3 linked regions of the Bombyx mori genome follow. The protein of the gene in region 3 interacts with the protein of the main gene of each other region in a biochemical or structural test. Links are inferred from orthologs where the notes say so. Each region holds a gene or a part of one and is shown on either strand. Other genes may lie near its edges.

Evidence for each region.
Region 1: the proteins of polyubiquitin-A (region 3) and 26S proteasome non-ATPase regulatory subunit 14 form a complex in vitro, tested with the Homo sapiens proteins (4 studies listed by BioGRID). The link is inferred for Bombyx mori from reciprocal best matches to the Homo sapiens genes UBC and PSMD14.
Region 2: the proteins of polyubiquitin-A (region 3) and ecdysteroid-phosphate phosphatase form a complex in vitro, tested with the Homo sapiens proteins (6 studies listed by BioGRID, with this or other methods). The link is inferred for Bombyx mori from reciprocal best matches to the Homo sapiens genes UBC and UBASH3B.

The regions. Positions count from the first base shown.
Region 1 is NC_085109.1:7,947,625-7,955,867, forward strand, and holds 26S proteasome non-ATPase regulatory subunit 14, read right to left. Parts: upstream 4,792-8,243; 5' UTR 4,696-4,791; intron 4,571-4,695; 5' UTR 4,544-4,570; coding exon 4,366-4,543; intron 4,153-4,365; coding exon 3,996-4,152; intron 3,392-3,995; coding exon 2,791-3,391; 3' UTR 2,643-2,790; downstream 1-2,642. Other genes in the region: uncharacterized protein LOC101738145, read left to right, coding at 189-323, 737-901, 1,725-1,801, 1,870-1,953, 2,444-2,632.
Region 2 is NC_085131.1:8,632,777-8,641,079, reverse strand, and holds the start of ecdysteroid-phosphate phosphatase, read right to left. Parts: upstream 4,943-8,303; 5' UTR 4,883-4,942; coding exon 4,677-4,882; intron 4,518-4,676; coding exon 4,277-4,517; intron 4,086-4,276; exon of another isoform or gene 3,662-4,085; coding exon 3,466-3,661; intron 3,248-3,465; coding exon 3,158-3,247; intron 1,168-3,157; exon of another isoform or gene 1,101-1,167; intron 815-1,100; coding exon 642-814; intron 1-641. UniProt on the Homo sapiens protein: Interferes with CBL-mediated down-regulation and degradation of receptor-type tyrosine kinases. Promotes accumulation of activated target receptors, such as T-cell receptors and EGFR, on the cell surface.
Region 3 is NC_085127.1:9,713,253-9,717,447, forward strand, and holds the start of polyubiquitin-A, read right to left. Parts: upstream 2,801-4,195; 5' UTR 2,670-2,800; intron 2,411-2,669; 5' UTR 2,403-2,410; coding exon 1-2,402.

The DNA.
Region 1 (8,243 bases), on a different chromosome or scaffold from region 3:
TAGAATAAACAAAGCAAAATTCTTGCAAAATAATCGGTGGGAAATCACAGTTGACAGATACCCGGCCACGGGGGGTAAAAATGAAAACACCTACCGGAAATTGAACGGAACCCAACGAAAGAATCTAATATTTTTAAAATGAGTTACGATTAAGATCTCACTTTTTTCATTAAAAACGTGTATTTTAGGGTTGTCAGTCGTTCCCGACGGTTCGAAATCCTCGAAATCGGTAACATTCATTTCACAAGATAACAACAATGGACAAAACAAAAATTATGTTGACCCTAGTGGAATGCTGATCGAACCTCAGACGGAAAAGGAAGGTAAAATGCTTTGGAGAAACGAAGTTATAAAACACTCATTCAGCTAAGAATAGAAATACTTAGATTAAATTTGTGTAGCAATTAGTATTGTAGTAATTGGCTACATTACAAAAAAGCCAGGTTGAGTCGATTGTCGATACATATTCTTTTTTAATCTCTCAATTGGCAAATCTTCGGTCAACCTTACACGAACTTCAACATCCACATAAGTATCTGTAGGCATACGATTAGTAAGTACCTATTCAAATTTTGGAACGAAGTTCCTTACAGAACGATGCGGAGGGGTACCCTAACCGGGAAAAAACGTCCGTAACGTAAGATTTTTATTAAATTTAATAAGGATACTACTTAAAGTCAAAATCTAAAAATCTGAAACGTTGTGTACAAACATTTTCCTAATTTCTATGTCACAGCAAACACAAAAAACATACGTTCAATTAGCACTCGACTACCGTGGCCTGCGCGGGCTCTTCCACGACTCGGATCAGGCGGATCACTCGATGACCAAGATCTCTGGCTTGCATTTCTGACTGAAACAGGCCTGATGCAATCCAGCGATGCAAGAAATATTTCTTATAGTGAGTTTAACTTTTGTATATTAGTTTGTAATTTTTTTTGAGAAAATCTCGTAGTCGCTCTCTATATCATTTTTTGAAGAATTACTACATATAATTAGTGTGAAATAGTTGTACTAAAATGTTATACGGAAGCATTCACTCCCACTTCATTTGTATGTATGTAGGTATTTAAAACTGCCATTTATTAATAAAAATCCTTTGAACTCTTTGACAATAGAACTTCTACCATTTGATACTAGCTGTAGGGTTTAGCAATGTCCTCATAAGGAGTCATGTCACTATGCTATAGTGTAGATCCTGACGCAGTGATTATTACGAAATAGTTGCGTATAGTTTGCTTATTATCTTATATTGTTATATTATATTATATTGTTTTGCGTAACATTGCTCCACTTCGCCTCGGAGTAAACTGATAAATAAATACCCGCAGTTGTAGAAAAAAAAACTACCCACACTGTATAATAATTTTAAAACTTCTGTCAAATAAAAGGTAGCCATATTCCAAATTCGGAGAGTATATTTTAATAATAATCGCTTCTATGAGAGTATCTAAATATATATAAATTATTTGCTGTTCGTTAGTCTCGCTAAAACTCGAAAACGGCTTGTGGAAGTTCAGAGAAGGTTTAAAAAGGTAAATATGAAAATGCTCGGAATTAAATAAAAATAGTAAATTTGTTGATGTGGCCCGCGTCGGACGGATTCCTTTTGTTTTAAATTTATTTTATACAAAAGTTTAGGTCCTTTATTAATCGATTGAGGCGCTACGAAGTCTGCCGGGTCAGCTGGTGCATTATAATAATCTTGTCTCATATTTTTACAGCGGAAACGGTGCAACGACACGATACCAAAATCGATAATCCAGATTCAATAATTCATCAAATGGATTTTTATGAAAAAGTAACTATTGATATTTTGCTGTGTATATGGGAGAACCGTTTTCCTGACAATACATGTTTGTTTCACAGATACCCAGCGAATCTTTTACAACAAATATAAGAGATGATTACGATGAAATCCATCGAAAATGTCCAGGTCTTTTCTGGGACACTGTATGTATACAAACCAACAACCTTGTAATGTACATACCCTAAATCCAGAACTTACTTACATAATGTCTGTTAGAACTTACGAAATCCAACAGATTTTTTTTGGATTGCCCAATTTTTTTACAATGCCTTTAGCCCAGACACCACCTTATTACTTATTTTCTTTATATTTAATTAAGAGCATTGGCACTGCACAAACCGAGTTTTTTTTTGTTTTAATTACAATATGATTTTATTATAATAAGAGTATGGGTGAATATACTTTCCACCTTAAGTTAAGTAGTTACCGATCGCACTCATGACTGATTCACAACAGCATTACATCAGCAAAGCTCCGATTGCCTTGAAATGTCTGTCCTCAATACGAAAATGGCAATTTCTCCCATTGATGATAATTTTTGTTGATTTTAAGTGTCTTGATTGCGGATGCCTTGACTTGCAGAACTTAATGATGAAAATGTTATATGTGCATATATGTTTTATTACTCATCAGATCGTAGTGGACGATAATGAAGAAGCATTTCAAAAATTGAAATCTATCATTCGTAATATTGTCAACTCTCAAAAGAATCAACAACCAATGTTTGACATAGATTTCACAAATTTAAAGTACTATCCTACAGTTAAAAAGAGACTAATAAAAATTCAAAATGAAATAGGAGCACAAAAATTGTTTAATTAATAAATGTTATCACTAATAAAGACTTTTATTTAGTGTTTTAGGTACAATTCAGTAAAATAGTACAGTTATTTTTACATTACAAAACCATGAGACGTGTTAAAGATAACCATCCTAGTTATTTTAAGACTTATTGTATATACTGTCTGTCACATCAAAAATCATTTGAATACCAAAGTGTCAAGCATAGCTCCTAGACACTGGACTATGTTGTTGGCCATGAGCACATCCACTTTCTCCTCTAAATGTCTTTTAGGATCTTGTTTGCCTACATTCTTAATGGCTAATTGTTCTGGAGTCATCTTCTCCTCATCTTCTAAAGCCTTATTATAGTTTTTAGCTAATTCCAGCATGTCGGTAACTGTGGACTCATTAACAGAACAATGCTCTTTGTAGTCAGATAAAGTTAGTCCATCCATCCAGGACTTCTTATGTAAATTCAACAACATTTTTTGTTCCAACTCGTTCTTTCTATAATTTATACTAATTGAATAGTAGTGACGATTTAATCCATGTATAAGAGCTTGTACAGATGGTTTCTGGAGGTGCCCGAGATTTGAGGTGGTTTGTCTGGGCTCTTGTCCAAGTACCATCATATTTGAGTTGATAAGGCGGAACGCGTCTATCACAACTTTACCCTTTACCGACTGGATGGGATCAACCACAACAGCTACTGCACGTTCCGATAATGCTTCAAATGACTGTTGAGTGTTGATATCCACACCAGATAACCAACAACCAAAGCCAGGATGTGAATGATACCTGTAAATCAATGTTGAACAATGAACATCACAATAGTAACAACTATCCAGTGTCAAAACCTATGCTATGGGCAGAATACTATATTCTACATAAATTAGTAAAGTTCTTATAATTTACTTTAAGTTTATGTATGCAAACCAAGATGGTGACATTTACATTGTAAATGTCTATGGGCTCCAGTAACCACTAAGCACCAGGTGCGGAGTGAGTTTATCCACCCGTCTAAGCAATAATAATAAAAAAGCTTAGAAGTAATTATGTCAAAACTGCCACCCACCTTAAGACATGAGGTCTATGTCCCAATTGTATGGTGAAAAGATTGTCCCCATCCTTTAAACCTAAAGTCAACGCTGCATCATTGTAGAAGATAAGTAGGGTAGTGGTACTTCATTTATAAGAGCAAGCTCATAAGACACCTTAGCACCACAATATATTTCGCCATATATCTTAACAGAAAACTAACATCTTAGACATACAAAGTTGATTAAGTATTATAAAAACTAAAATAATAATCTGTTTTGAATGTCATTGTGCAATGTTGACTTATTTCTTTTCAATATTATTGTAATTCTTATTTTGTATAATTTACTTTAAAGACACTAACCATCCAACAACCATTTCGGGTCGTCCTGTTTGTTTCAACATGTCCAACATCTTAGCTTGGAAGACTGGATCAACAGCCTCTACAGATACTCCAGTCCCGGTTTGTGGCATAGCAAATACATCAATAACTCGAACTGTATAGTCATCTACAAACTCTCCTGAAATAAAATATTTTCTTTAGAATTTCCACAAATACAGGCAACATAAAATCGTACATTTGGTTGAATACTTTAGTCACTAAGACCGACTTCTACTACTAAAAATAGAATTTTGTGATTTTAATGAATGTGTATTCACATTTTGTTACAGATCTAATTTAATTTACCAAGTTTATAATCATAATAATTTCATGAAAAACTTGTTTTACTGACCGAGCATGAGACCCATAACCTCCATAGGAACGCCAGCACGTCCATGTTTCAGCATTTTAAGGAGTGCTAGGGAAGAGATGTACACTTGCTCCGCGGTGTCCACTGCTGGAGCATCGGTAGGAGGTGGCGCCTGTGATAAGCCCGCCATTCCACCACCAAGACGAAGAAGACGATCCATTTCAGTTTCTACCTCTTAACTTTCACACTGCAAAACATATAAAACATAACAGTACTCATATCGCCACAGAAAGCGCAATCGAAACAATGATGCGGTGGGTAGGTATCCCAAAGTTGTGCAGGACTCCAATTTTTTTTCTTGTAGCTACTTACATCTAATCAAGTGTATTTCTTCTAGTTAAATTTCACAATAGAAATAACATATAAAAAACACAGTAATGCAAAGAATCAGTTTAGTATGAACCTCGGGTGACTTGACTACTAGTTTGACAAAATGACATTTACTCAACTCACGCAGAAAATGCTTTCTCATGTCTTACTTCCGTTCATTAATCATGTGAACCTTTTGAAAAAGAGAAATCTTATTCAGAAAAAATATTTTTTCTCAGCTTAAGCGTTTGAAAAGTTTTTTTTCTTCAAGTAAACAAAAAAAAAATATCACAGTATGGTCCAGGATATTTATGAAAATACAAAACACAATGACACCCTAAAAAAATCTAGGTTCAACGCGAAACTTCCTCTATCAATTTCCGAACGTTTCTTAGTCATCATTAATTAACGTACAATTCGATGTCTTTTTTTTCTTACCTAAGCTGATAAGCCTTGAGAGGCTATTTCAGCGTAACCTTAACTAGTAGGTGGGCACACGGGGCTCAAATCTGACGACGTTGCTAGCGAAAGTGAAGCGTTTAGTGCGGAGCACATCTCTCCCATCACCCTCCCCCTCTGGACGCCGGACCGGCGGTCGTCGGCGCCACGACCACCAGCCCTCTCGGTCGGCAGGCTATCCGAAGCCCGCCTAGATGGCGCCGGTTAGAGTGAGCTATCCTACGGAATACCCCACTGGACCAGAACCAGCGTGGGTCGAGGATAGCCGGCCTTCCATCACCCGGATGCTCTTGCGTAAAACGCGTGCAGAGCAGCTTGCACGTCGTCTTCTTAGGCCCCCCTCGCCGGTTCCCAGACCGACATGTGAGGGGGGACCCGAAAACCTTAGAGGGCCAGGGCTTGGGCGAGATCCGCCTCCCTGGCCCCCGCTCGACGGCGGCGGGATTGTGCGTCTCTCACGCGCCCCGCCGCCTCCTTCTGCGAGATGGTGCACTCGCAGAAGTCGAGCATCGCCTTCCACGACTCGTCGTCGCCGAGCATCGATGCCAGAACACTCGGCAACGACAAGTCGTTTCCTACTTTTGCGACAAGGACACGGCGCCACCCCTCCCATGCGGGGCAGGCGACGAGCGTATGCTCTGCCGTGTCCAAGTCGCAATCACAATGGTGCCGTCGGCTCGGCTCTAATCCGGTGCAGGAACTCACCGAAGCAACCATGCCCAGTGAGCACTGAAAGCGTGAGCCGGAAAGTGAGGCGTCCTCTGTTACGATTCACCCAATCCACAAGGACCGGGCGAATCGCCTCGACGGTCCTACGACCAGCCGAAGGATCAGCCAGCCGTCTGAGGATCAGCCAGCCGTCTGGCTACAATTACCGTAAGGTAAATTCATTTTGCCTTTTATAAAATAATAAAAAGCAGACAAGAGCATTTGGTATGATTCATTCGCCTTTCCAGTATAGGAAAAGTAAACACAAATGCGTCAATAATGTCATTCAATACTGTCACTTGCAGCGTGACCAGATTTAGTAGATTTCTACTTTTTTGGTAGATTCTGAGGTACTGGCAACAGAATTTAGTATGTAAAAATTATTTGGTATATTTTAGTAGAATTCAGTCTTTTCAGGTAATCTAGTACTTTTTTGGCATTTTGGATACATTCGGGATATTTCGGGAGCTTAAAATGAAACATAAATATACACAAGGATATCACGATGTCCCATTCATCGCGATATCCTTGTAGTTGTAACAGAAAACATGCAAAGTGTGGTGATGTTCGACCAGCCCATACCGTGGGCCCCAAAGGTCAAATATTTAGGCGTCACCCTCGACAGTAGGATGACATTCCGCCCCCACATCAAGACGGTACGCGACCGTGCCGCCTTTATACTAGGACGTCTCTACCCGATGATATGCAGGCGAAGTAAAATGTCCCTTAGAAATAAGGTGACACTCTACAAAACTTGCATACGCCCCGTCATGACCTATGCAAGTGTAGTGTTCGCTCACGCGGCCCGCACTCACTTAAAATCCTTCCAAATTATTCAATCCCATTTTTGCAGGATAGCCGTCGGAGCCCCGTGGTTCGTCAGGAACGTCGACCTCCATGACGACCTGGACTTAGAGTCCATCAGCAATCTTCAGTCGGCGTCGATGCGCCACTTCGATAAAGCGGCACGACACGAGAACCCTCTCATCGTGGCCGCCGGTAACTACATTCCCGATCCTGCGGACAGAATGGAAAGCAGTCGACGTCACCCAAAACACATCATCTCGGATCCTCCCGATCCACTAACGGTGCTTCTAGGTACTTCAAGCACCGGTCACCGTTCTTGTCGAACCCGTCGCTTGCGACGAAGGGCTCGACGAGTAAATTAACTCCTAGACACAGCCCACTGAGTTTCTAGCCGGATCTTCTCAGTGGGTCGCGTTTCCGATCCGGTGGTAGATTCTGCGAAGCACGGCTCTTGCTAGGGTTCGTGTTAGCATCGTCGTCAGGTTTGAGCCCCGTGAGCTCACCTACAAACGTTAGGGTTACGCTGAAATAGCCTCTCAAGGCTCTCAGTTTAGGTAGGAAAAAAAAAAAAAAGGAAATTGTTGACAAAGAATATAATTAAAATGAGATGTTTCCGTGTCTAATTTGTTGTCAACTTCTTGTTCGACGTCTGAATCTTTTATGGTGAATAAATTTTGGAGTGATGTCAGCCAAATCTGTGATGCGAATAGCAAGCCAAGGTATAGCAATTTGTCCCGAATTGTGAAGCAAATGACGATACTACCTTTGTCAAATGCCAAAATAGAAAGAATATTTTCTAATATTAATAGGTTTAAAATCAAGATCGAAATTGATTTAATAATAAGAATGTTGTTGCAATAATGCATGGAAAAGAGGGGCTACGACAGTTGGTAGGAGGAAGTCGCACATTTGATCCTGACAGAAGTATTATCATGTTAATGGGTTCAAAACAACTTTATGAAAATGTTACCCAACATAAAGACGAGGAATTTTAAGTTTAAGTTTCATTTTATTATTTTTTTATTTTTTTTTATTTTGAATTTAATAAAAAAAAAAGAACATTGGTCTCTTGAATTAATGGTGTTTTCTTTGTTATTATTATTATTCTATTGTTTGATCAAGGAAACATTCATGTTTTTACGTTGTAACACGACAGCAAAAAAAAGTATAATTGATTTTTAGTATTTCTCGTTCTCTTTTGGTAGAATTCAGTAGATTTTAACCTCCACAAGCAGTAGATTCGTCAAACGAAATCTGGTCACACTGGTCACTTGTCAGTCTGCCGTCACGTAAATTTTTTTAACATGCTATAATGTAAATAAAGTAAAAAGGTGTCTACAATCTGCCTAATACGAAAAAATTAAAATCAATTACTTTTCCGTTACCGTATACAATTTTACACAAATAGTCGCTGTCAGTAATGGCGGCAGAAAAATCTGTGTTACCGCCAACTTTTTCGGCTGGTCCAAAAGGCCTAGGTATTTTATAATTTGTATAAATGCTGGTCTGATAAAAAGCCTATATGAAAACACCCATCATAACTGAATCTTAATCTATAATTACAGGCGATCCTGATG
Region 2 (8,303 bases), on a different chromosome or scaffold from region 3:
TGCTTAGTGCGAGCTTTTTAACGTTCTCGATAGCGTAAAAGTTAACCCAATTTTGTATGCAGTTGGAACAGCGTCCCAAACGTCCCTAACGGCAAACGTAGGTAAACGATCCCATTCCATACAAATATGAGCTAACTGTTACGGTATCGGAAACGTTCAAAACTCGCACTATACTGGTCACCAGTGTCCTACGTCATAGATAATACAGCGTGGAGCACTGAAGTAATTATAGCGATTTCTGTTACTAAGGCGTCGCAATAATAAGTAGACTCTGGGAAAGACGAATTAAGAATTAATTAATAAGAACGAATCGAATCGATTTATATCGACCTAAAAGACTTACATTAACAAACAAAATAATATAAAGTTGTGCAATCAAGCTTTTAGTAACAGAAATCGACTTAATTCCTTCAGTGCGCCACGTAGGGCATCAGTAACCTACATGACAGTCAAAGGGCAAAAGTACCCGCTGATCTAATGATCATGATGATATTATGATGTTATAAACTAGTTCTTTCATTATGAATTTATTGTAACTATAACAGCAAAATCAAACCAGTCGACAATACATTTGATACCGACCTAATATCTCATTTCATACGGCCATATAGAAAGGCCTAGTTTGGAATCATCCCGATTACCTGATGATTAGCGAAACGTGGATCCCTCGAATAAAGCCTGAGCTCCCAGCTGGAGTGTTCGACTGGCTGCATCTCCTCCACCAGGCTCTTCAGATCCTCATACGATGATTCCTCAAAATGGTACGCCAGTGTGATATGAAGAGATTTTACGTGCGCTTCCAGGTTTATTGATGCTATTGTTCAAAAATATATATTAAATAAACTTATTCGTTCTTAATGTCATTCAATATTTCTAGTAAGCTTAAAAATCTATTTCAAGAAAATACGTATTGGTGATAAGTAAACTACGTTACAATATACGTATGAAATAGAGCTACAGCATTTTTTATTACAAAAATCAACTACGGCAAATTTTCTAAACACAACAAACAGAACTAACAGATTCGAAAGAACTAATTGTTATTAAAATAAATGTAGCATATAGGTATATATGTACGTATTATATAAAAGCGTATTTACCTTAGAAGCATGTAGTGTAAGATTAAATTGGCAGGCCGCCACTGAAGAAAAAGGTGGTGTTTTTAGGCTTGAATGAAATAAATACATTTGAATCACGTGCATTTAAATTTTTTAAACTAGACAATTATATTGTTTTATTTCATGCCATGCGACAAACAATATACATAGCAGCAGTTTCATATTAAACAAAGGATATGTAGATTACATCACATTTCGTTCTTTCCACAATTACAGCCTTAATTTTGGGTTAATTTCTTGCACTTTCCCGTTTTAAAAGTTTGGTGGTAATAGATTTTCAGGTTTTTCAGGTAGGTAAGGTATTAGCAGAATCTTCTAAAAAGTTATAAGTGTATTTGCCCCAGTAAATGCTAGAACCATTAAGCAACCTGCATGAGGGCTCGCATCCTCCTAACTTCTCTCATTTATTACTAAGCGATTCTAGATTGCAACCGACAACAATTCGTTACATGATGAAGAAGAAGCAATAATCAACATCAATGTAAATGGCTTCACCCACCTTGTGACATGAAATGTCGACGTCATGCCAGCTTACGGAATCCCCAAGGGGCTCTGCAAGTGGATCGCTAGCTTTTTGGATGGGCGGATCATCACGGTCGTTCTAGACGGTGAATGCTCTGATACCATGACCATTAACGCTGGCGTTCCACAAGGTTCGGTGCTCTCCCCCACGCTTTTCATCTTGTATATCAATGACATGCTGTCTATTTATGGCATGCATTGCTATGCGGATGACAGCACGGGGGATGTGCGATATATCGGCCATCAGATTCTCTCACGGAGCGTAGTGCAGGAGAGACATTCAAAACTTGTGTTTGAAGTGGAGAACTCTCTGGGGCGAGCCTCCGAGTGGGGTGAAGTAAATTTGGTTCAATTCAACCCGTTGAAGACACAGGTTTGCGCGTTCACTGCGAAGAAGGACCCCTTTGTCATGGCGCCGCAATTCCAAGGTGTATCCCTACAACCTTCCAAGAATATTGGGATACTTGGGCTCGACATTTCGAGCGATGTCCAATTTCGGAGTCATTTGGAGGGCAAAGCCAAGTTGGCGTCAAAAATGCTGGGAGTCCTCAACAGAGCGAAGCGGTACTTCACGCCTGGACAAAGACTTTTGCTTTACAAAGCACAGGTCCGGCATCGCGTAGAGTACTGCTCCCATTTCTGGGCCGGGGCTCCCAAATACCAGCTACTTCCATTTGATTCCATACAGAAAAGAGCCGTTCGGATTGTTGATAATCCCATTCTTACGGATCGATTGGAACCTCTGGGTCTGCGGAGGGACTTCAGTTTCCTCTGTATTTTGTACCGTATGTTCCATGGGGAGTGCTCAGAGGAATTGTTCGAGATGATACCAACATCTCGTTTTTACCATCGAACCTCCCGCCACCGGAGTAAAGTTCATCCATACTACGTGGTGCCACTACATTCATCCACAGTGCGTTTCCAGAGATCTTTTTTGCCACGTACCATCCGGCTATGAAATGAACTCCCCTCCATGGTGTTTCCCGAGCGCTATGACATGTCCTTCTTTAAACAAGGCTTGTGGAGAGTATTAAACGGTAGGCAGCGGCTTGGCTCTACCCCTGGCATTGCTGACGTCCATGAGCAACGGTAACCACTCACCATCAGGTGAGCCGTGTGCTCATCTGCCTGTAAGGCAATAAACAAAAAAAAAAGTACAGAGAATACCTCACCCTTAAAACTGAAAATCATGAACACTTCTGAGGAAGCAATAGACAACATGAAAGTATCTTTCAGAGTGGTCTCAGAGTCCAGTGTCCAACTAGTTATTACTCAAACTTAATTCAGTTTCATTACGCATATTATTATTTTGATTTCCTTCATCATGGAAGTTGTTCGTTAGGTACATACATGCAAATCTTAGTATCAGTATATGTATACACTTTACCGATTAAGCCACGAAAACATTAATATATTTAGTATAGTCAAGTCAAGAAACTACTGCTTTGTATTTAGAATAAAAATAGTCACAAAAATGTTATTACATCAAAGCAAGCTGTTAGAATATCCACTCTTACATTTAAGATTCTTTTCTTGTGCCATTGCACACCACGGAAAGCATGTTCCTAATGCATCCAAATGTTCATATGTGTCCACCATTACACCCACTGAAGTAACACAGACATAATGTCAAATAAATAAAGACTATTTTCTTCATAATCAGATTAGGGTCAAATAAGTCAACAGTACCTAATTTCTAGAAATAACCAGTACATGCTGTTTCTAATAATGGTAATAGATATTTAACTATAAAGTTTACATTAAAATAGTGAGAATCTACAATATTTTTTCTTAGATTGATTTCTTCTTTTATAGATATACTTACAAACTGAAGACACTTGCTTGACATATTGCACTGCAATTTTTTTCAAATACTCAGCATGTTCTTCAGAGATAAACAAGCCCATAAAGTTGTGTGATACATAGGGTTCGAGCTTAAGAGTGCATTTAGGTGGGTCACCCACATTCTCGACAACTTGCCGAACTGCTTTTGCTAAATTAAGAGATGTATCATCGGGTGCCTATGGATATTTTTTTACTGTTGCGATTATTTGTTTAGATATGTACTATTATTTCATAAGATATGTTAATAATAAACATTTATCAATCACATCAGTTCTATATCCATCCATTCTTTATAATTATTTGTAATAAATAATAATTACTTTGCATATATGTATGTACAAGGCATAAGCGAAGCATTTCCAAAAACAATGACCATTGATGGTTGTGGTGTCTTCTTTTTTGGATCAATTTATCTATATATTTAATGTGTATAAAATTAATATCCAATTTTTGTAGAACCTGACTAAATTTTAAAATTAGCTGCAGAATTAAAATAGCCATTGTTACAAATGTAACTCATATCTTATATCTGGAAGTGGGGATGAGGATTGACATATCTATTATCTGAAATAATACCTATAGCCCAGTTTCCATTTAACTCTAAAAACCATAGCTTAAATTGTAAATAAATTGTTGGTGGCAAAATATAGTAAATTAAAATAAACCTAAACAATTCAAAGATCTGACAAAAAATAAAATGAGGCTTACATTATTTATAAATGTTTGTTTACAGGGACTATGCATAAATTGATAGAGGAATCAACAGGAATGTATGATATATTTTTTATTACCTTGAAAAAAGATACTAAAGTGATGTGAGGTAAAAAATTATGAGCTCCATTCCAACCACACGTTGCCTTAGACTTATCCCAGAATTCTAGGAGTTGTGAGAGTAAAGGTCCTGTAGGACTGGCATAGAAGATATACTCGCGAGGATCATCAGCATCTATATTCGAGTCACTAACGTGTGTCAATAGCCAGTCAGAGGCGAGTTGAACACTGCGGTTACCAGTTGCTGCTAAAGCTTTCAACCTAAGCAATTTAAATTATATTGTAGTATTATATTTACTGTGGCCCAATTAAGTTTTGATTTCTTTAAATTTGCTTGTACAATTTATTGTGGTTCCAAACTAGATACTACTACTACATTTATTACCACATAATATAGACAAAGTGTCGCTACAAACTTACGCTCTTTGCCTTCTAAAACCCATTTGCAAAAGTATTTGCAGTGGAGAAGCATCTTGTTTTGATTTGCTAGCTGAAGTAACTTTTCGTGGAGGCAAATTAGCCATTTTCCCCAGAAATAAGCATTTACATAAAATATTTCTTATAATATTAGTCGTTATCAGAACCGGCATCAAAACAGAGAAAATGAGAATTGAACTTTTTGACATTTGACAGTTTAGGTTTGTTAAGACTGAACATTGACATTTATCAGAATGTCATTTGACAATCATGGATCTCGAATATTAAGTGTATAATCTATGATCATGGATATTTAGATTTTATGATAATTTTATGATACCAACAACCATCCTTTCAACTACACTCGCGAGCAAAAGTTTGGAATCACTTACTTGAAATTGGTTCCGCGCGATCTTGTGTACTACATATTTTTTTGATAATCATAAAAATGAGATCATTTTAAAGGTTGAGCTCTTAACCTTAAACTGATACCAAATTAATTAAAATCAAACCAGTATTTAAGAAGTTATCTTGGATTAAGTGAAGGAATAACGAAAAAGACGTGTTTCAATTGCTTGATACGTCGCGAGTTGCGGCCTATTGACCCCTCTAAAAGCACCTGTTATCGGATTTTCTTTATCAGTCGACTTTCACACGTTGACCGGTACATATCTCGGCTACTTTTGACCCTTTACCTTGTACGACAATTGGGACAACACCTACAGAAGTAGCACAAATCGTAGCCCTATTGCAAGAAGAGCTCAGCCAGCGGGTTGTCGCTCGTCGGCTCCAAATAAGCCATTCCTGTGTTTCAAAAGTTTGCAAGCGCTTTCAAGAGACTGGTAGCTTTATCTCGAGACCAAGATCTGGACGGCGCTGGGGCACATCGGAGAGGAATGACCGTTTTATCGTGTTAACCTCTCTCCGAAATCGGCATTAACCTGGTGTCGACGTCCAACAGGAGTTCCGAGATGTTCGTAGGGTAGCAGCTAGCAAGTAGACAGTTCTTCGACGACTCAAGCAAGCGAATCTGACTCCAAAAAGGCCTGTCACAGGGCCGAAACTCACGGTAGCTCATCGACAAGCACGCCTTCAATTTGCTCGTACCAATCTTAATTGAGAGGTTGAGCAATGGAGGCAAATCCTGTTCTCCGACGAGAGCAGGATGTGTTTGCATGGTAGCGACCGAAGAGGTTGGGTCTACAGGCGGCCTGGGGAGCGATTTGCGCAGTGCTGTTTCGCTGAAACAGTGGCTTATGGGGTCGGCTCTTGTATGATGTGGGCCGGCATTTCCTTCGACGGTAAAACCGAGCTTGTTTTCGTGCCTGGCGGGGGACGAGGAGGCGGTCTAACTTCGGACCGATACATTTCCAATATTCTGCTGGAACATGTCGTTCCCTATGCGGGATATGCCGGTGATAGCTTCCTCCTTAAGCACGATAACGCTCGTTGTCACACTGCCAGTGGAACAACTGAATACTTCGAAGAAGTCTATATCGCCACATTGGACTGGCCTGCGCTCAGCCCTGACTTGAATCCTATTGAGCACGTGTGGGATGAACTGAAGAATAGGGTTCGTTCCAGAACTTCTGCTCCTTCATGCCTGAATGAGCTGAAATCGGCGTTGATTGAGAAGTGGGAAGGTATCCCACAAGAATCAATTCAAAAGCTGATCAGGTCTATGAAGAATCGTCTTCGAGGAGTTATTAGGGCGAGGGAAGGGAACACAAATTTTGGGTGTCAGACATATAAATTAAACAGGCTAACTTTGTTCACACTTTGCTTTAATCTGCCAATTTTACATTGATGCGTTTGGTTCTTGATTTATTCATAATTACTTTGGACTTCTTATACAAATTTTTACACACAACGCTACCGCGATGTAATTTTGTTAGCCTGTGACATCTATTGACGACATTTGTCAACTGTTGAATTTATAACTTAACAATATTTTAATGGTTTGCAATATAAACCTCATATTTAATAATAATTCTTAATATGTACAGGACTCTATATAATCATATAAATAATCAGAAACCTTACACTCTATATAATCATATTAATATAAATAATCATAAACCTTACAGCTCGGCCATCCTACCTAAAGCGAGACCCTTCGCTTTGAGATCAAGAAAAAAAAACAAAATATATATGTTACAAAAAAAATAATAATAATAAATGCAATTAATTATACACTAGGTTTATATATGACGTGTAACATTTTTTTTAAACATTTTTTTTGCTATAAATACTAAGTACATACACATATCTATCGCTAAATCGTTTCCATGGTTTTAAGTTCTATCAAAATAATAATTAAAATAACAATTTCTTTCTTAAGTAACTAAATGTCAAACATAAACTGAGTAATCAAGTATCTAATCACTGTCATCAACACTATAACTAGATTCATCAGATTCTAATTCTCTACAGAACGACATCCAAGGCTGAATCTTATCAATAGATACAACTGCTTCATACCTTCTACCTTTTTTGCGAGTCATTGGTATATCTTCTACCACGAACCTATCATTGGGAAGAACCTTTAGTATACGATAAGGGCCTTGGTACTTAACAGAGAGCTTTTGAGATTTTCCATCGTGCGGAGCCTGCCTTGCTAAGCGTACTAAATCCCCTTCTTGGTACTGCCTCGCTGGTTTCCTATGCTTATTAAAATTGACTGCATCTTTAACTTGTTGCTGTTTTTTTTTTTTTTTTACTAGCCTGTTGTCTGACTTCCGCCAATTCCTCAATGGGAGTCCTATTTAGGGTGTCATTGATTACCGTACTAAGTATGCTTTCCGTTCTATTAATTATGTTAAATCCAAATAGTAGCTCAGAGGGGCTCTTTTGGGTAGTTTTATGTCGAGCTGTGTTCATACCAACCTGTATATCAGTGATGTGGTTGTCCCACGACTTGTCGTCGCCGCCGTGATTGGCTGTCGATAGAGCATCTAAAATCGTTCTATTAAACCTTTCTACTTGCCCGTTTGCTCGAGGCGTTGCAACGGCATTTACAATATGTTTGATCCCGTAAGAGGTCGTAAAATCTTGAAACGCCTTACTGGTGAAACTCGTACCTTTATCTTTTCGATTGGGTGGAGTTCTCCTTCTCGTTTATCACCTGGAGCTTTGTGGTACGCGCACTCAAGGCAGGAGGTAACATACTTCCGGACGAGACGCCGCATTTTCGCGAACCAATAATGGCCTCGGATGCGCTGTAGGGTTCTTTCAAAACCACAATGGCCAACGTCATCGTGGTTCATTTTTAAAATTTGCCAGCGTACACTTTTGGGTACCAGCCATTTTATTTCGTCACCTACCACGCGGTAAACATGGACATTCTTCAGTCTGTAGTTTTTGTGTATGTCCGCTACCTCCGCCGATGAAGGGTCAGAAAGAATCCTTTTGATTTTATTTATCTCGTCATCTGCAGTTTGTACCGTCGTAATCCAGTCCTGTTCGATTTGCTGTATTTGTAAAACATCTAGTACATGTGTTACCTGAGGAAGAATTGACTGGGTTTCTGCTTAGGGCATTCGCGTGTGCCATGCTAACACCAGGCCGGTACTCGATTGTACAGTCGTACTTCTGAAGTTGGACCCACCACCTAGCTATGCGAGGTATCAA
Region 3 (4,195 bases):
TGCTGATCTGGGGGAATTCCCTCTTTATCCTGAATCTTGGCTTTCACATTCTCAATGGTGTCAGATGCTTCAACTTCTAGCGTGATGGTTTTACCGGTAAGTGTTTTCACAAAGATTTGCATGCCACCTCTGAGACGTAATACCAAATGCAGAGTAGATTCTTTCTGGATGTTGTAGTCAGATAGTGTACGACCATCTTCAAGCTGTTTGCCCGCAAAGATCAATCGCTGCTGATCTGGGGGAATTCCCTCTTTATCCTGAATCTTGGCTTTCACATTCTCAATGGTGTCAGATGCTTCAACTTCTAGTGTGATGGTTTTACCGGTAAGTGTTTTCACAAAGATCTGCATGCCACCACGCAGTCTCAAAACCAAATGCAGAGTAGATTCTTTCTGGATGTTGTAGTCAGATAATGTACGACCATCTTCAAGCTGTTTGCCCGCAAAAATCAATCGCTGCTGATCTGGGGGAATTCCCTCTTTGTCCTGAATCTTGGCTTTCACATTTTCGATGGTGTCAGATGCTTCAACTTCCAATGTGATGGTTTTACCGGTAAGTGTTTTCACAAAAATCTGCATTCCACCTCTGAGACGTAGCACCAAATGCAGAGTAGATTCTTTCTGGATGTTGTAGTCAGATAATGTACGACCATCTTCAAGCTGTTTGCCCGCAAAAATCAATCGCTGCTGATCTGGGGGAATTCCCTCTTTGTCCTGAATCTTGGCTTTCACATTTTCTATGGTGTCAGATGCTTCAACTTCTAGTGTGATGGTTTTACCGGTAAGTGTTTTCACAAAGATTTGCATGCCACCACGCAGTCTCAAAACCAAATGCAGAGTAGATTCTTTCTGGATGTTGTAGTCAGATAATGTACGACCATCTTCAAGCTGTTTGCCAGCAAAAATCAATCGCTGCTGATCTGGGGGAATTCCCTCTTTGTCCTGAATCTTGGCTTTCACATTTTCGATGGTGTCAGATGCTTCAACTTCCAATGTGATGGTTTTACCGGTAAGTGTTTTCACAAAAATCTGCATTCCACCTCTGAGACGTAACACCAAATGCAGAGTAGATTCTTTCTGGATGTTGTAGTCAGATAATGTACGGCCATCTTCAAGCTGTTTGCCCGCAAAAATCAATCGCTGCTGATCTGGGGGAATTCCCTCTTTGTCCTGAATCTTTGCTTTCACATTTTCAATGGTGTCAGATGCTTCAACTTCTAGTGTGATGGTTTTACCGGTAAGTGTTTTCACAAAGATTTGCATGCCACCTCTGAGACGTAACACCAAATGCAGAGTAGATTCTTTCTGGATGTTGTAGTCAGATAATGTACGACCATCTTCAAGCTGTTTGCCAGCAAAAATCAATCGCTGCTGATCTGGGGGAATTCCCTCTTTGTCCTGAATCTTGGCTTTCACATTTTCGATGGTGTCAGATGCTTCAACTTCCAATGTGATGGTTTTACCGGTAAGTGTTTTCACAAAGATCTGCATGCCACCTCTGAGACGTAATACCAAATGCAGAGTAGATTCTTTCTGGATGTTGTAGTCAGATAGTGTACGACCATCTTCAAGCTGTTTGCCCGCAAAGATCAATCGCTGCTGATCTGGGGGAATTCCCTCTTTGTCCTGAATCTTGGCTTTCACATTTTCGATGGTGTCAGATGCTTCAACTTCTAGTGTGATGGTTTTACCGGTAAGTGTTTTCACAAAGATCTGCATGCCACCACGCAGTCTCAAAACCAAGTGCAGAGTAGATTCTTTCTGGATGTTGTAGTCGGATAGTGTACGGCCATCTTCAAGCTGTTTGCCCGCAAAGATCAACCGCTGCTGATCCGGAGGAATTCCCTCTTTGTCCTGAATCTTTGCTTTCACATTCTCAATGGTGTCAGATGCTTCAACTTCTAGTGTGATGGTTTTACCGGTAAGTGTTTTCACAAAGATCTGCATGCCACCTCTGAGACGTAACACCAAATGCAGAGTAGATTCTTTCTGGATGTTGTAGTCAGATAATGTACGGCCATCTTCAAGCTGTTTGCCCGCAAAGATCAATCGCTGCTGATCTGGGGGAATTCCCTCTTTGTCCTGAATCTTGGCTTTCACATTCTCAATGGTGTCAGATGCTTCAACTTCTAGTGTGATGGTTTTACCGGTAAGTGTTTTCACAAAGATCTGCATTCCACCTCTCAGACGTAATACCAAATGGAGAGTAGATTCTTTTTGAATATTGTAATCGGATAATGTCCGTCCGTCTTCAAGTTGTTTCCCAGCGAAAATCAGTCGCTGCTGATCTGGAGGAATGCCCTCTTTGTCTTGAATTTTTGCTTTTACATTTTCTATGGTGTCGGATGCTTCGACTTCTAATGTTATGGTTTTACCAGTGAGAGTTTTTACAAAAATCTGCATGGTGGTTTCTAGAACAAAGAAGGAACTTTAATGAAGATTGACGGATGAATTCCCTATTTCGGAGTATTAAATGGATTGACGAACAAAACAAAAGAACAAAGACTTTTAGTCATCACAAAATGGCGACGATCATAAATTACATCGTCATTGTTTCAGATTTTTTTGTGTGTACAAATGACAAACTTGATTTTCAAACTTTTCTTGTTGACAATAATTATTTCATGCAGTAGAGTTGTGATATTTTTGAAAAATTGAAATATTTCCTACCTTTTTGGAATTCACAAAAATTATTAAAATTATCACAAATTGTAGGACACGTCGTGCAACTAGGTAGCTCTTTCACGAATGAATGAAATTCAACTTGACTCTTGAAAGCAGAATAAAGAATTTTATGACCTGGTAACTAAGACTTTTAGGTCAAGTCTTATTTTAATTATAATGAAAACTTTTTATATGAAAAAAGATATTATGAAATGAAATAAAGTTGATTAATATGAAACATGGTGTGAAATGAAATGAAATGAATGAAATGAGATGAGACGAGACGAGACGAGATGAGTTGAGTTAATTTAATGAATAATATAATAAATTAAAAATTCCATGTATTCCCTTCAGGCTTGTATTTTAGGATTATTCTCGATCACTATTTTAGGAAGTCGTTGCCTGAAAGAAATCACTCTGAGCAATATGGCGGAATGTTGCTATACGTATTCAAACAGTTTTTAAGCTTTGACGATTGTTTTATGTTTTGAAAAATATCTATCATAAATTAATATGTACTTTAGGACACATAAATTTATTTTCACTTAAGAAGTAATAGTAAAACTTATGCAAAGGCTTAAACAAGTTTTTATCTCTAATATATCGATTAGCCCACCAAAAGGCTTGGTGAAAACGTACAGCTGATATGTGCGAGTGCGGTGAAAATTCAATCAGCTTGTAGGAGTTGTAAATGAGAATAATAGAAAAGTTAGAGCTAGAAGAACAGCTGGTTGCCGGCGATACTCATTTTTTTATTACTTATTTATTTATTGTTAGCATAGAAGTAGAAAGACAGTCTTAATTTGCATCTGTGCTTGAATTAGGTGATGAAACCTGTATCTCAAGCAGCAGTGCTCCTCGTTCGGAGTGGGGAGCAGAAGATGGTGAATTGCTGAACGAAATGATGGCAGAGCTTTGAACGATTACATTTTGTTCACCTATAGGGCGTTGATTGTAGCAGCAGTTCATCAGAATAAATAAGCTAGGCAAGAATACTTTCGAATTAACACATAAAAAATGCTAGAGTTTTTTCAAACACTTTTAATCTTAAGTATTTGTGGTTTTTTTTCGTAATAGATACAATAGCCAATGGCCCATATGACGGTAAGTACTGATCGATGCTCATGGACACTGGCAATGCTATACTCCTTTCAAACCTTGATTGAACAAGAAGATTTCATAGAGCTCAGGAAACACCCTTGAGAGGTGTTCATTTTAAAACCGGTTTGTATGATCAGTGAAAATAACAATTTGAAGTAGTAAGGATTCGAAGGGGAATATCGATAATCCGAAAATTCATCAACAAATCATCTATCTATCTAATCTATCAACAAATCTAACGTCCATCTGGTGTAGTGGTAAGTGACATGGTCACTACACAAGGGGGTCGCGGGTTCGAATCCCGCCAAGGGAAGATATTTGTATGATAAATATAAATGTCTTTTCCAGGGTTATGGATGTATATTAAATATATGTATGTGTATAATCAAAATCTTATATTTATTTCCGTTATCTCAGTCTTTCTCAAAGTG